2 linked regions of the Medicago truncatula genome follow. The protein of the gene in region 2 binds, or shares a complex with, the protein of the main gene of each other region. Links are inferred from orthologs where the notes say so. Each region holds a gene or a part of one and is shown on either strand. Other genes may lie near its edges.

Region 1 (7,406 bases), on a different chromosome or scaffold from region 2:
AATTTGTGCACCTTGAATTGACTATGATATTTAGACAAGACCAATTGAATTGCTAAAGATAGAAAAATACTAAGTATCAAGTAATTATAAAGGTATTGTAATTTATCTCATAAATAGAGCTTGGAAGATCAAATACTCTAGCATACCTTTTCTATTCTTATCTGTTCAAGGAGTTTACTTTTGTGACAGACAAGAATCTTGTGCTTGCAATCTTTCCAATCTAATTTAGAATAAATCATGTGAAAAATGAAAAGCCTAAGATGGAAGTATTACCAACTTTTTCTTTTGAAAAGTTAGTGCCAACAAAAGAAACATTAATACTTGGCACCAAATTGGGATTAAAAAATAAATTGTGAAACCTGTTTGTGTGTTACAAGTTAAATTAGAGAACAAGTTATATTTATAGTTGTGCAATTGTGTTAGAACAGCGAACACACGATATTTGATCATGCACGGACCACACGTGTGACATATCCATGTATAATTAAACTACGAGTCAAACCCAACAAATTGTTTCTAGGGTGAAATTTGAAAATTAATGTTAATTTGGACTATACGATGTCAGTGTATACAGGATGTCACACTTGATGAACAAATGCAGGACATCACTGGAGTTTTTCTTTGCCATATGGTTTGTGATGGGAAATGTTTGGGTTTTCGACTCGCGATTTGGTTCATTTCAACAAGCTCCAAAACTTCATGTCCTATGTATCACCTTGCTTACTTGGAATGCAATCTGCTACTCTTTCCCTTTCCTACTTTTTCTACTGTTATGTTGTTGTGTGCCACTGATTAGTACCCTCCTTGGTTACAACATGAACATAGCCTCTTCTAATAAAGGAGCATCTGATGAACAAATTTCACAACTTCCAAGTTGGAGACATAAAGAACCTCATGCTACCAAGTTAGAACTTGGCAATGACTCTGAAAGCATTGAAAAATTCATCAATGAAGATCCGGTAAGTAACTAACTCACAATGTAAACAAGTTTTACACAAAATATTTGATCATATTTCATCCTATCATATCATAATATTTTCTACAAAATAACTATAGAATGAGGGATGCTACTAAAAAATTCAAATGAGACAAAAATAGAAACATTATTTTATTTCCTACAATTTGGGATCTATTGATTATTGAATTAAATAAGTTTGGCATGTTGTGATGTGGTTGACAGGAATGTTGCATTTGTTTAGCAAAGTACAAAGATAAAGAAGAAGTTAGACAATTACCATGTTCTCATGTGTTCCACCTAGAATGTGTGGACCAATGGCTAAAAATTATATCATGCTGCCCACTTTGCAAACAAGGATTAGAAAGATAGAAGAAGTAGCTGAGACAACAATCAATCATACTCACATGACTAAATTGATTTGGTCATATACTCATATATCTGTATACTCTTGATATTGTCAAGATTTTTTTTCTCATTTTAAATTTTGGTCTAGTATACTTAACATGGTTACTTGAGTGAGTTTGTATATGTACAGAATAGCTCACCAGTAACCAAAAATACCTACCTAACAAGTGCTTAACTTTTCAAATAATGCCTAAGCATTATTTTTTTCACTGTATTTGAATATTGTGGGATAAGATTTCTGTATTGGAAAAATGAAGTAAATATTATATTTGTAACCTCAATAATAAATTTTGTACTATTTGGTACTCTTTTGGTTTTTAATTTTGACCAATTATTTTCACATTACATTGCTCTGAGACATGTTTTACTTTAATTTGAATAAACTTATAAAAGTAGATTATCATTGTCATACTTCTTTTTTTGTGAAGCCATTGTCATATATACTTGTATAGTATAATGACAATGATGATAAAGTTAACAAGGTCGGTTTGGGCTTGTGCAAATTTTTATATAAATCTCATTTAGAATTTATTTATTTGCTAAAGTAAAACCAACATAGGGAGGGTTTAGCTTGTCAAGGGAAAATTTCTATAGGAATAGGGTTGGCCTGTCTAATTATAGATAATAATAAAAAAAAGGTCTAGTATTATAGTGATATTTTTGCATTAATTTTTGTTTATTTAAAAAAATACATTTAATGTTCAAATCTCATTTACATAATTAATTGGTGTGGCTCGGTTGGTTAAGCAACGCTGAGCTTGTGAAGAGGACTAAAATTCAACCTACATGTAACATGTATTTTAAAAAGTGGTAAAGATCTTCAATCCACAATCGAAGCATCCGAACAAAGATTAATCACATAGCTAATTTAAAAGACCGAAGATTGTGAGAATACTTACTTTGTCAAGCCAAGAGTGCCAAAGACCTTGATTAAAGTGGTTTCCTAAAAAAAAATCTCATTTATTTTTATTGAAAAACAAATTGGCTTGTATAGTTGTATGCCTAGATAGCCTCCCCTATTAGTCACTTTCCAACTCCTGGACTTTTGGTGCAATGACCTATCCATTATAATTATTAAGGTATCTTATTTAAAATTAAGCTACTCTAAAGAAGAAAAACTATATATCAGAAATGGTCCCCCAATCAGTTCACTAACAACTTTTATTTCTTTTGTTCATCATCAACTTCATACTGCATTGTAGGTCATAGGTTAGTTGGAAAATATTTGTTTCTTTTTGTATTTTTCCAATTTATATATTTATATATAAGGGCAAATATTACCTAACTTATTTATTTCTTATTTTTAAACTTCTCCAACAGAAGAAAACTTACAACATTCCTCCAAAAAAAAAAAAACTTGCAACAATTTAACCGAAAATATAATGAGAAAATAAATCCTAAAAGATCAAATCAAATATCATTTGTACCCAAAAAAAGATTAAATGTTATAAATTATGTGCTTAATAATTTTCTTATTTGTTTCCTCTCAGAAAAAATTGAATGTTTTATTAACATAATATATGAAATATCTTAACATCAAAAGGAAATAAAATACTGAATGAAATTTATAAAATTTTATAAGATGTACATGTTTAAAAAGAAAGAGAGAAAAGTACGTGCTTTTAAATAATGAGAACCAAATATCTGCTGTTATGTTGCATATGTTTTGTGTTGTTTCTTCTACTATATGTAATGCACCTGTTACTAGCATCGTCAAGATGCAAATATATATCATACATAACTCGAGAACGTTTGGATCAGATTATTCGAGTCTTTTTTAATTTAATTAAATGTCATAAAATCGAATTCAAATGAAAGAACATGAAGCATTAAAACTCTTAAACCTCTTGAAGAAGAGTTTTGTTGTAGATGTGATTCTATCAAGATCAATTATTGAGTGTGGATGATAATAAACAAACAAGAAGGCTTACACAATGAAAATTGTTAGACCCTTCATACAAGTTGTAGCTTCTGATTAACTATTTTTATACGTAAAATTTAATTGTATCATAACTCTTGATCAACACTTTTAAACAAAGTGAGTAATAATTTTGCTCATTCTCGTCAAATAGTCGAGTGTGAGTTATCTCATGCATGTGTATTTTTAATGTGAGTTAACTCAAATAAATGTATTTTTCAACGTGAGTTAACAATGGAAATGAGCAAAAATAGATGAGAGAAAAGCAATCTCTAAATTCTACTAACAAATTTCTAGAAAAATATGATATGCCCAGGCCCACGCCCACGTAGACTTCGACATGCATTTGCCCCTTATTATATGGTAACTAAATCATAATTATAACACATTTTAATTTCTTTACACCTTTTGAACACACACATTTTAACTTCTTTTCACCTTTTGAATACTCCCCCATCCGATAATAACTGAGTTTTTCATTCATTTCATACATATTAAAAAAAGTGTATAAGTGAAAGAGAAAAAAATGAGTTTTGAGTGTGTTCTTAAGTATTGGTCATTTTCCATTATCATAAATGCAAAGTAAAATATGTTGAATTGAGAAAGATGAAAGTAATATTAATTAGAGTTATGATTGAAAAAAGCAATAAATATGGCATTGAAAAGTGAAATGAGTCAATTTTTGTAGGACTTTTTTTTTTTACAAATGACACAGTTATTTTTTAAAATTTAATGCTATGTTATTATTTTATTTGACTATCCCGTGAACTTAGCTCAGTTTGTAGGGATATTGCATATTATATACAAGGTCGGGGTTCGAACCCCGAACACTCCACAATAAATTGTATGAATTTTAGCCACTAGGGTAATTGACCAAAAAAAATATTATTTGACCAAAAAAATATTTAAATTTTTTTTTTTGACAAAATATTTTAAATTTATTATTTTTCAGTAAAACATTAAATCCAGTCAAAAGAAAAATTAAATTATATAGTATATAATATACAAAAAAAAAAAAAAAAAAAAAAAAAACTGAAAAATGAAACAAAATTTGTAGAGAATATTTGTCAAAAATAACAATAAATTCATAATGATATGATATGTTATATGTGTCAGCATTGATTTCATTCCAAGTTGCATAGTACTCCATCTGTCATCACATCATCATTCATCATCATCTTCGTTCTTCACACACTCTCGATTCGATTCGATTCGATTTCATTCGCCTGCAACCACCGTCACAACAACCCTTCTTCACCACTATTTCCCTAAGCTTTTCTAAAAATCTCTTTTTTCTCACTGATCCTTTAACTTCAAGGTAAGTTTTTTCACCATACCCACTTTTTATTTTCCTCAAAAATCTTATAATTGAGCATGATTATCGTTAATTCTGATCTGGGGTTGTTGAATTTTGCTTAAATGTCATGTCTTTTTTGTTTCTTCGTGTTTATTTATGTCTGTTTTGGATAGATCGATGAATTTTCTATGCATGTGGATTGGTGTGTGAATTGGGTTGAATTCAGAATCTAACAACCTTGAATGTTTTCAAATTTTGAATCTTTTGAATATTGGGGTATTGAATTCATTATCTTTGAATGGTTTTAACGCGATTCTGAGATGTTTTCTAGGTGATGCTGAATGTTTGATCATGGATCTTAGGTGCTAGAGAGAGATTGAATTGTTTGTTGTGGTTATATGAATAATTAGGTATCAATTTTTTAGTGAATTGGTTAAACTACTTCACTACAACGAGTAATTAAGTGAGGTTATTTGTTTGTTGTATTAAGGTTTTGTTATGAATTTGGCCAAACTTAGGAATCATTGATGGGAATAACGCGATACATAATTTGTTGTGTTTGATTTTTGAGTGCTTTTAGTTTGATGTAATATGTTTGGAATTACAGTAAGTTTGACAAAATCATAGTGGCACTGTGATTTTGTGGAAGCTCCATGGTGTAGTTTTTGATTGATTTAACCACGAATTTAAACATGCAGTAAGTAAATTGCAGTTAAGTTCTGATGCTGGTTAGAGCATGGCATTTGTTCATTTGTATTTCCGTTTTGATTATTTTACGTTCTTTGTTTCTTTAGTAGACTGTGATTGATATTTTACTTCAGTTCTATAATTAGACTCTTTTGTTGATGGTGCCTTCAAATTTTGCAGATCTTAGCATTTGGGAGTTGGCCAACTGAAATTGGAAATGGTTAAAAGGTTTAGTTGCTAACCGCCTGCTAAAGATGACTTTATGAGGAATTAACTAAATTATATATCTAATTGATTTGTTTTCTGGAACAGTTATGGAGGATTTTGATTTTGAGGTACAAGAGATATCATGTTGCAGTGCATAGAGGGAATTAAGCATTTGTTTGCTCCTCTATTGCAATGTTGTGACATTGACTTATATAAGCAGACAACAGGACTTGAAGATCCTGAAATTCTTGCGAGGGAGACAGTGTGTATGCATCGACCTAACTTTATGAATATAATGTGGTTATTGTTACTTTTGCTCTTATAAAAATGAATTCTGATTTGAATATGTGCTTCTTATATCTTGTATATTATGTCATTACCTTTTGATTTTGAAAGCATGTGGATGATATTATTGTGCTCTCTTTTTTTAGTTGTGGATTCAATTACCTCATACTACTATTTGAAATAAATACACATAGATAGAGATGATGGTAGATATTTGTTTTGCTTGTGTATGCAGTTAGTGTAAGTGAAATTGAAGCTCTTTATGAGCTCTTTAAAAAGATCAGCAGTGCGGTGATTGATGATGGGCTGATCAACAAGGTTTGTCTGCTTCGTCTCTGACAACTTGTGGTTTGTCGTTTGTGGATATAATAAATTTTCTTGATTAAACCTTTTCAATGCAAAACAACATGTATAATCATTCTATACCAATAAATTATATTTTCTGACAACCTATGTTATTAATTTCTTCAATCAGAGAGGATATAACATTATAAAATATGACATGATATATTCAGTTTTCACTTTTTTCCTACAATATTAATTATTAATATGCATCATTTGCAGGAAGAGTTTCAATTGGCATTATTCAAGACAAATAAAAAAGAGAGTTTATTTGCCGATCGGGTATGGTATTTCTGTCTTTTCTATTGATCATTGTTTGACTTTTCTCTGAACTATGAAATTTTGTTTTAGGCCAAGGCCATCAAATACAACAATAACGAAGTCTTATCTCAACCTAATATGACATACAAAATAAACTTTGTCTTCATCTAATTCTAAACAACTGAAATTTTGATTCCCGTCTTCTTTGTATTACCACAAAGTTAAACTGAAATGAGTTTTTTTATTACCTCAAAGCTAAACCGAAATGAGGTTTTTAACATCGATGTCTTCATATGACAATTTTTTTTTGGGGGGAATCATACGACATTTAAAATAACTTCTTCGTACATGTTATTCTTAATGTTTCACCACGTAGGTTACCTCTCTTGTTTTCATGATCACTCACTCCTGTGAAACTTTATATTGAATTATTTAAATTATTTACCTTTGATTACAAGTTTTCCCACACGTTCCCTTTTTTGTTTCAACATTTAAAAAAATGCACTTTCCATACCATATTAATTACCATTGTAAATGCTATTCCTTCTTACTTGCAACATGTGCATGTACTGGTTCATATCGTATATTGCTTCAAATTGTTAATATCTCATATGAGCTTATTTCTGGGTAGGTATTTGATTTGTTTGATACAAAGCACAATGGGATACTTGGTTTCGAAGAGTTTGCCCGCGCCCTCTCTGTTTTCCATCCAAATGCCCCTATTGATGAAAAGATTGAGTGTATGTTACTTCAATTCTTTGGTTTACTTCACCTTACTTCTTTTCAGTTTACCAAAATTAAAACTATATAATACTTCTTTTCAATTTACCAAAACTAAACCATATAATATCTTGTTTCAGTTTCCTTTCAACTGTATGATCTCAAGCAGCAGGGTTTTATTGAAAGACAAGAGGTGATTAGCCTTCTTTAAATCTTATTTTGCTTAAGCTTTTTCTTCTTGTTTGGGACAAACCTTCGATTTTTTTTTATGTAAAGGTGAAACAAATGGTAGTTGCTACGCTTGCTGAATCTGGCATGAATCTATC
Region 2 (7,706 bases):
AAGCAACCTATTGTTCGCTTAAGCGAACAAGTTCCAAAGAGCAACCAGTCTGTTCGCTTACAAGCACACCTTCAGTTCGCTCATGAGAAAAGTTCAGTTCGTTTAAGCGACCTATTGTTCGCTTAAGCGAACAAGTTCCAGAGAGCTCCAAAATGGTTCGCTTCCTGTACGCTTACAGTTCGCTTGAGCCAAGTTCATCAAATTTCAGAAGATAAGGACCACGTGGCAACTCCTCAATGGACAATGGAAGATTCCCTAGATGTTCGCTTAAGCGAATGTTGCTTTGCTTAAGCGAACGAGCACAAATATGGCCCATATAAATAGTTTTCTCTTCTCTTTCCAACTATTCTTTTACATTTTCTTTGATATTTTTCTGGTTTTTAGAGAGAGACTAGGGCTTTTCTAGAGATAGAAACACAAAGCAAGGTAGTTAGGAGTAGATTCAAGCCAAGATTTGTTGAGACATCATGAATCTTGTCATTGAATCTTCATTTCTTCCTCATCCTTTGCAAAGCTATCATAGACATATGTAGTTATATCTACTCTTGTGGTTTTGAGGTATTCAAACAAGCTATTATGTAATCTTTTGATAATTTAATATATGGTTCTAGCTATTTATTCAATATTGTTGTTATTCTTGCTTTTATTGTTTTATTGAGATTTGAAATGATATGGACACATACTTTTAAATCTAGAAATAGAATAACAATCTATCTTAAGTTATCCCTCTAAACATTGATGTTAATATTTGATAATCACTTTTAATCTAGAACTTAATGCTTTTAGGTCAATTAATCGGTTGGGAAATCATCGATTAAACGATCCAATCAACTTTGTGATCGTTTAAATGTTTGGAAAATCGATGTTTAAACGATCCCTTAGAAATAACGATATCATTTGGACACGAATGATATTGTCGAGTGATTGTGATAATATCGTTTAAAAAGCTAGAATCCGTTAATCGATCGAGAGATTGTAGCTGTTACGCTTGATTGATGTCTCTGAGCGCAAGCGAAATAGTCCTATCTCTTCTCGTTTTACTTTTATGTCGAATAGGAAAATAGTTTTACACAACCAAACAATTTATACTCAAACACTTAATGTGATAAACATTATGAAAATACTTATGAAATACGCAACTCCTTACAAAAACGATCCTATTATACTCACATGTAAATAGTTTATCACATGTAAAAATCTTACATCACAAATACAAAGGTACTTTGTTCACCTCTATATAGATATCGCGAACTCTAACATTCCAATTTTCTAGAAGTAAGTTTTGAATCTTCCTAATCAAGCTCCTACCACCAACGCTTCCAACATCCTCCCTCCCCCCACTAAGACGACTCCTTACCATTCCTAATAGGTCCATATGTAGCTCCACGTAAAAATAAAATAAAAAAATCTCTAGCCCACACTAAGCACTCGTCATGCAATATTTTTTGCAAATCCTTCCGGCTATTTCCCATCCACATCCCTTATCACTCCACAACAATCATTGATCATATTCAATTTCTACGAAAGCACCATCGTTGTTGATGTATGTATGTCCAATCTATTTTCTCTCTAGTAATTGATAACAATGACTTGCAATTTCTACAAGACAGCTCATGCACTCGTCTTAGACCTCATGTAAATATTTACATGCTGCAGAGTTTTACAAGAGAGACAAACATATCTTCAAAACCAGGATCGAATTTGCTTTATGCCTCCATAAATAGATATGGTGGCAAGTGTTATCCTAATCAACTCTCTGCTCAACTTCTCCTTTAAAAAATACATTAATATTCAAATTATTGAAAACCCGCTCTTTAAACTGACTTACCTATAAATCCAACCTCCATTGAATAAGCACCAAGTGGTTCCAAACAAAGCTAGCCAAAGAACAATCATGAAACACATGTAAAACGTTCTCCTCAACTCCGACACAATTATCAAAATAAGTGGTATTTAAAACTCGGATCAAAATAAGTGGTTCAGAATCAAATTAATTTGAATATTAATGTAAAATATTGACCCATCATGACCTACGAAAATAAAACTTTAAATTTAAAATTAATTTAGTTCTTTTATTCCACACTGACTTTATTATTCTTATCAAGAGAGAGAATTTTAGGATCACATCAACCATGGTTGTAATAATCAGAATTTTTTAGTCTAAATAGAAATATACAAATCAAAATCATCTTCCTCTATAAAAAAAAAAAAAAAAAATCATATCTTCCTACTCTTGTTCTAATAATGTAAGGGCAAATGAATCACAATAATTACTAACATTCGAAAGTATTTCAGAAACTCTTTTATGGTTTTTAAATTAAAAAATTATTCTTAATGAAAATAAAATACTTTAATTTTCAATACACCGACAACACTAATCTTTATAATAACATACCATTTAATACACTTACCCTAGAAAAGAAAACCATTTAATACACTTAAATAGTGATATGATTACACTCATTAGCGTCTTCATTTATATATAATTTTGGCTAAAAAAGTCTAGACATAAATGGAGTACAGATTATCAATTCAATATTTTTTTTTATAAGTAGTGACCTAAAGTTTACTATGGCTCTGGATTTGGATTCTCTCCATAGACTTCACTCATTCAATATATATTTTTGACCAAATATGAATATATATTTTTTTAAGGGTTGAATTATCTTATATGTTAATCTTGAGTTTGATTTACTATTTATAAACAAATTAGATGTTTGATTTATTTTTTATAAACGAATTAGATAATGCAGCCCTCGAACAGGGTATATGATGAAATGGTGGATAAAACTTTATAAAAAAAACAAAAAAAAAAAAAATTGAAGGAAAAACTTTATAAAAAATTGTAATTATTGCCTTCGACCTTAAGACCTCGTCTCGAGTTTGATGTGTGTAGCAATTTATAATATTTTAAATTTAAATAATTAATGGCACCGTTGACTCATGAATCCCAATAAATAAAAAGCTGCACGAACGACCTAAGAGATGCCACTATTTTTTAAAATAAATAAGGACTCTATTTGAATAAGAATACGGTATAATTTTTTCTCAAATTTTTCAAAAAGAATTGAATGGATTTAGTTCTCTAATTTTTAAAAGAAACAAATTTCTCGGTCTATGAATAATGAGAGATAGAAATAAATTACACTTTTAGTTTCTTAACTTAATTTCAGGTAACAGTTTCGTCCTTTATCTTTTTTTCATTTCAATTTGATCCTTTTTGTCCATTTTCGTATACATTTTCAAGCTTCAAATCTAATATTCTTATGCAAACATAGACGAGGATCATAGATTTGAAGACTGAAAGACCATAAGAAAATAAAATCAAACTTAATTATTATTATCTTTTTTTTAGGGAATTATCGTTCTTTGTCTAAAGAGAATAATTATTTTCTAAGGACCCGTGAATTTAATAACATTGTTAATGCATGCAATGACGAATTCGAACTTCAGTCACTACACTTATATGTTAAAGGTGAATTTCTAACCACTAAATGATTTGAAAAAATAATCCATAAAAATATAGATATGTGGATTCCCTGAGACCATCCTAGTATGCAAACCGGAAAGACTGTTAGATTTTGAGAGAAAGCGAAAAAAAATTCTCTAGGAGCGTACAAGATCCAAGTCCAAGAATAAAGGAGATATCAAATGATTTAAATCATTAAAAATAATATTTTTTTTAGGGGAAATTCTTTTTTCTGGTTACAATGCTAAAGAAAAAAGAAAAAAAATAGAAAATAAACAATTACAAACTACTCTTCAGGAATGAAAGTCCCAACTGCATTCATCTTTAGGGAATATAAGAGACCATTCAAAGGGGTGGCATGGTGAACCAAATCATGATATGAGGAGGCTCCAAACTTGACCAAAAAATTTGTGCATTGATTTCCCATCCTGAGAGTGTGACAAACAATAGTATTACTTTGTTCCATCAAATACTTCACGTCTTGAACCAACACGGCATAAACATGAAACCTGGGAGTTGGGCCTTTGAGGAGGTTAACACAAAAACGAGCTCTTCAATCCCCAATTTTATTTGCCAACAAGAGACCATGATAAATAACATATATTTGAACGTTCCGAAGGTGTACTGTTACTCTTGCTCAATAAATTTATAAATTAACGATCATTTTATGAAATAAAAAGTTAAAAAAGAGTAAATTTGATTTTGTTGAAGCTTTTGGTAAATAAGATATAATTATTATAAGGGAAATGCTAACTGGTGCCCCCGAGGCACTGGTTAAGGATATGAAAAATTAAAGAAAATTATACAGTAGTTAATGCATTGAAATTGTGTAATTAATTTATAATAAAGTCAAAAGCAGTTTCCTTTTATGGTATGCTTAACCAGTGCTCTGGGGGCACCGGTTAGCAGAACCTTTATTATAATTGTCAATGATAGAAAATAATTTTTTTCTTCAAAAGAAAACTCAATTAATTAATAGTTTTACAATTTGGTGTACCGGTACACTCAAATTTTTGAGTGTACCATTGAATTTGCCAATTTTTAAATATTTATTCAACATTGTTTTTAAATAATCAATTTATTATTACATATTTATATCATTATCTTTATTTCATTTTCCCCTTAAAAAAAGTTCTCTAATTCTTTTTTCTGTTAAGGTGTCTTTGAAATATTTCCAAATGCATTAATTGACTACTTTATGTTTCTATATAAAGACATTAGAAACTGTGTATGCCATACCATCACTCTCACACGCAGACATAAATATAGATTCAATTCAAGAACCGCCTAAACATGTCTATCAAAACCGTGTACTAACAACTACTGGAAAAAAAGATTCATACAAGGAACAAGTTACTAGAACATAAAAATGGTGCTTCCAATGACTATGTGTGGCCAAGAAGAACTTGAATTATCAAGAGATGGTAGTCACTATAGTCTCACAACCGGAATATTACCTTCTCTTGGTGCCAGAAGCAACCGGAGAGTTAAACTCAGACCCCTCATTATATCTCCCTATGATCGCCGTTACCGGTAATTCCTTCTCCGTTTATTCTTCTTTCAACGTTCTTGATAATCTTATTTGAAACGTGTCAGACAGTAAATATATGATTAACCAATTCTTGGTTGGAGGTGCCAACGCTTGTTGACTGTTCTCTTCTTTCTTAAGATTTCACTTTGTTTTTAAGAAACACAATAAATGATATTAACGTTTATAATTAGTCTTTATTAGTCTTGATTAGTCTTCAAATTTTCCAGTATTTCACATTATTTTTTTTATTTTTTTTCCTTTCTTGTGACAGAGTTGAAAGACATGACATTGATTTTTCTGTTGCTTTGTTTCTGACGGAAAATTGTTAGCTGTTAATGTTTCACTTCTTTCATTTTCTGTTTGTATTTGATGTTATTATTTTATTGAATTTTTTCTTCTTGGTCCTCTCTTTTATTCTATTTTTTGAAACCATTCAAGAAATTCCATCTTCACGGATTTCTCACATAGAAGGTTGTTTTATAAATAAATTAACAATATTTTTCTTTATTTTTACTATTTATTAATTACTCTCATTTGTATTCTCATGTTTGTATTCTTCGAAAATACATGCTCATATTTGTTTGTTTTGTTACCCTTTTGAAACATAAACCAACAATTTCTCTTCTTAATGATCCCCGCCGTATACTAAAACAGAAAAGAAATCTGTTTATCTTTCGTTTTCTTATACTAATCTTTTTAATTAACAATTTTATCACTCAATTTTCTCGAAATGTTCTTATTTTGAGATCTATCCAACTCATTTAAAAATTCGGTTTGTTTTGTTCTGTTTAATTTGGTTTTTTTTACTCTTCAAAGGAACATCCAAAAAGTTTACACGTGTTTTTAGTGATCCTATAAAGTTTGACTTTGTTTTCCTTGTATGGGAAACAACCAAGAAGTTGGTGGTGTTTTAATGATGGCTATGAGTTTGTAACGAAAGAAATTTGATGTTGGATTCTCAACTGAAATTCCTAAATTACCCGTTTTGTTCTTGCCTTTGTAACTGCTACTCTGTTTCGTGTAAAGAGTCATTTTCTATGTTTCTCTTATTATGTTCTCTCATGTCAATTTGTTAAAGTGCGGTTTGTGAGTGATTTGTCAACTGTGACTCTCATTGACTATAAGAATTTTTAAAATAATGACAACTTATGCACCTAATGATTTAAGGAGGTTTTAGATGAAAATATGATTTTTAAATGAGTAGTGATATTTTGACAACCATTTTGGTACAACCTTTGATACAACTTTGTTTTTTCATTGGTCAAAAACAATGGAGAGAGAAAAATGTAGAGATAGAATAAAAACATAATGTGAGTATGAGAGAGAAAGTTGTACAAAATGGTTGTACAAATATCATTTCTCTTTTTAAATTCACTTGTATGATTGCTTTTAATTCAACGTAATCAATTAGCAAAGTTTTTTAAAACTCCCCGTCCCAACAGCGGGGGCCCCATTTGGGGTCTCGCTGGCGGGAAGTTTTCCCCCACACGAATTGGATGGGGGAGAAAGTCCCACTAGGTGATTTGGGAAAATATTTATTGTTGTCGCAAAACTCGCAATAATGTCTTAATTTTAAATTTTTTATGATTAAAATTTAAATATTTTTTCTACCAATTTAATTGAATATTATATAAATTTGATTATTTTTAAATATTGATCATGGGGCGGAGACGGAGATTTAGGAGGAGAATACTCCCCAAGGCGGGGAATGGAGTTGATGAGCATTTTGGATGGCGGGAGTACTCCCGCCAGCACCCGTCTCATTGACATCCCTACTTCTCATCTTATTGAACATAAATAACTGCTGCATTTGAAATTTAGAGTTTTCTAAGACTATTAAGTAATTAAAACTTTTTGGCTTTTGCAGGATATGGGAAACTTTCCTTGTTACATTGGTTGTGTATACTGCATGGGTATCTCCATTTGAATTTGGATTCCTTAAGAAACCACAAAAACCCCTTTCTGTTACTGATAATATTGTCAATGGATTCTTTGCTATAGATATAGTTCTCACTTTCTTTGTGGCTTATATAGACAAAACTACCTATTTGTTCGTAGATAACCCGAAACAGATTGCTTGGAAATATGCAAAAACTTGGTTTGTACTTGATCTTATTTCCATCATTCCTTCTGAGCTTGTTGCACATATATCACCTGCTCCTATGCAAACCTATGGCCTATTCAACATGCTTAGGCTTTGGCGTCTTCGTAGAGTTAGCGCTATGTTTTCTCGGTAAGATTGAAACTTGATAGCTTTGGTGCATATGTTTGGATGAGCGATGAGATTGATAAAAAGCAGTGAGCCAGTCACAAATTTTCCACAAAAGCTACACTTTGTAGCTTTGCAAAATCACGGTGGCTCACTAGATTTTTCAATCTCGTTGCTCATCTTAACATGCATTTACTCCCATAAAATCATGTATATATTTTGTTTCCTTTTTGTGTAGTTTATGACCGTAAATGTTGTTTCTTTGATCCTAGGCTTGAGAAGGACAGAAACTATAACTATTTTTGGGTTCGGTGTGCAAAGCTTATTTGTGTAAGTTTTTGAATATATTGTGTTTGTAACCTTTTAAGAAGGAAGATAAATTAGATGTAAATGAGATGGACTAATAATCTGAATGATTTTCATAGGTTACTCTATTTGCTGTGCACTGTGCTGGATGCTTTTATTATCTTCTTGCCGCGCGTTATCATGATCCAGAA

The links.
Region 1: potassium channel AKT1 (region 2) and calcineurin B-like protein 3 share a complex: the UniProt entries of both Arabidopsis thaliana proteins name them as parts of the K(+)-channel calcium-sensing kinase/phosphatase complex. The link is inferred for Medicago truncatula from reciprocal best matches to the Arabidopsis thaliana genes KT1 and CBL2.

What each region holds. Positions count from the first base shown.
Region 1 is NC_053046.1:43,347,233-43,354,638, forward strand, and holds the start of calcineurin B-like protein 3, read left to right. Parts: upstream 1-4,401; 5' UTR 4,402-4,599; intron 4,600-5,445; 5' UTR 5,446-5,493; intron 5,494-5,577; 5' UTR 5,578-5,614; coding exon 5,615-5,738; intron 5,739-5,992; coding exon 5,993-6,075; intron 6,076-6,321; coding exon 6,322-6,381; intron 6,382-6,991; coding exon 6,992-7,100; intron 7,101-7,220; coding exon 7,221-7,273; intron 7,274-7,356; coding exon 7,357-7,406. UniProt on the Arabidopsis thaliana protein: Acts as a calcium sensor. CBL proteins interact with CIPK serine-threonine protein kinases. Binding of a CBL protein to the regulatory NAF domain of a CIPK protein lead to the activation of the kinase in a calcium-dependent manner.
Region 2 is NC_053045.1:54,796,065-54,803,770, reverse strand, and holds the start of potassium channel AKT1, read left to right. Parts: upstream 1-4,691; 5' UTR 4,692-4,838; coding exon 4,839-5,002; intron 5,003-6,867; coding exon 6,868-7,233; intron 7,234-7,481; coding exon 7,482-7,539; intron 7,540-7,634; coding exon 7,635-7,706. UniProt on the Arabidopsis thaliana protein: Highly selective inward-rectifying potassium channel that mediate potassium uptake by plant roots in response to low K(+) conditions, by a calcium-, CBL-, and CIPK-dependent pathway. Positively regulated by phosphorylation by CIPK23.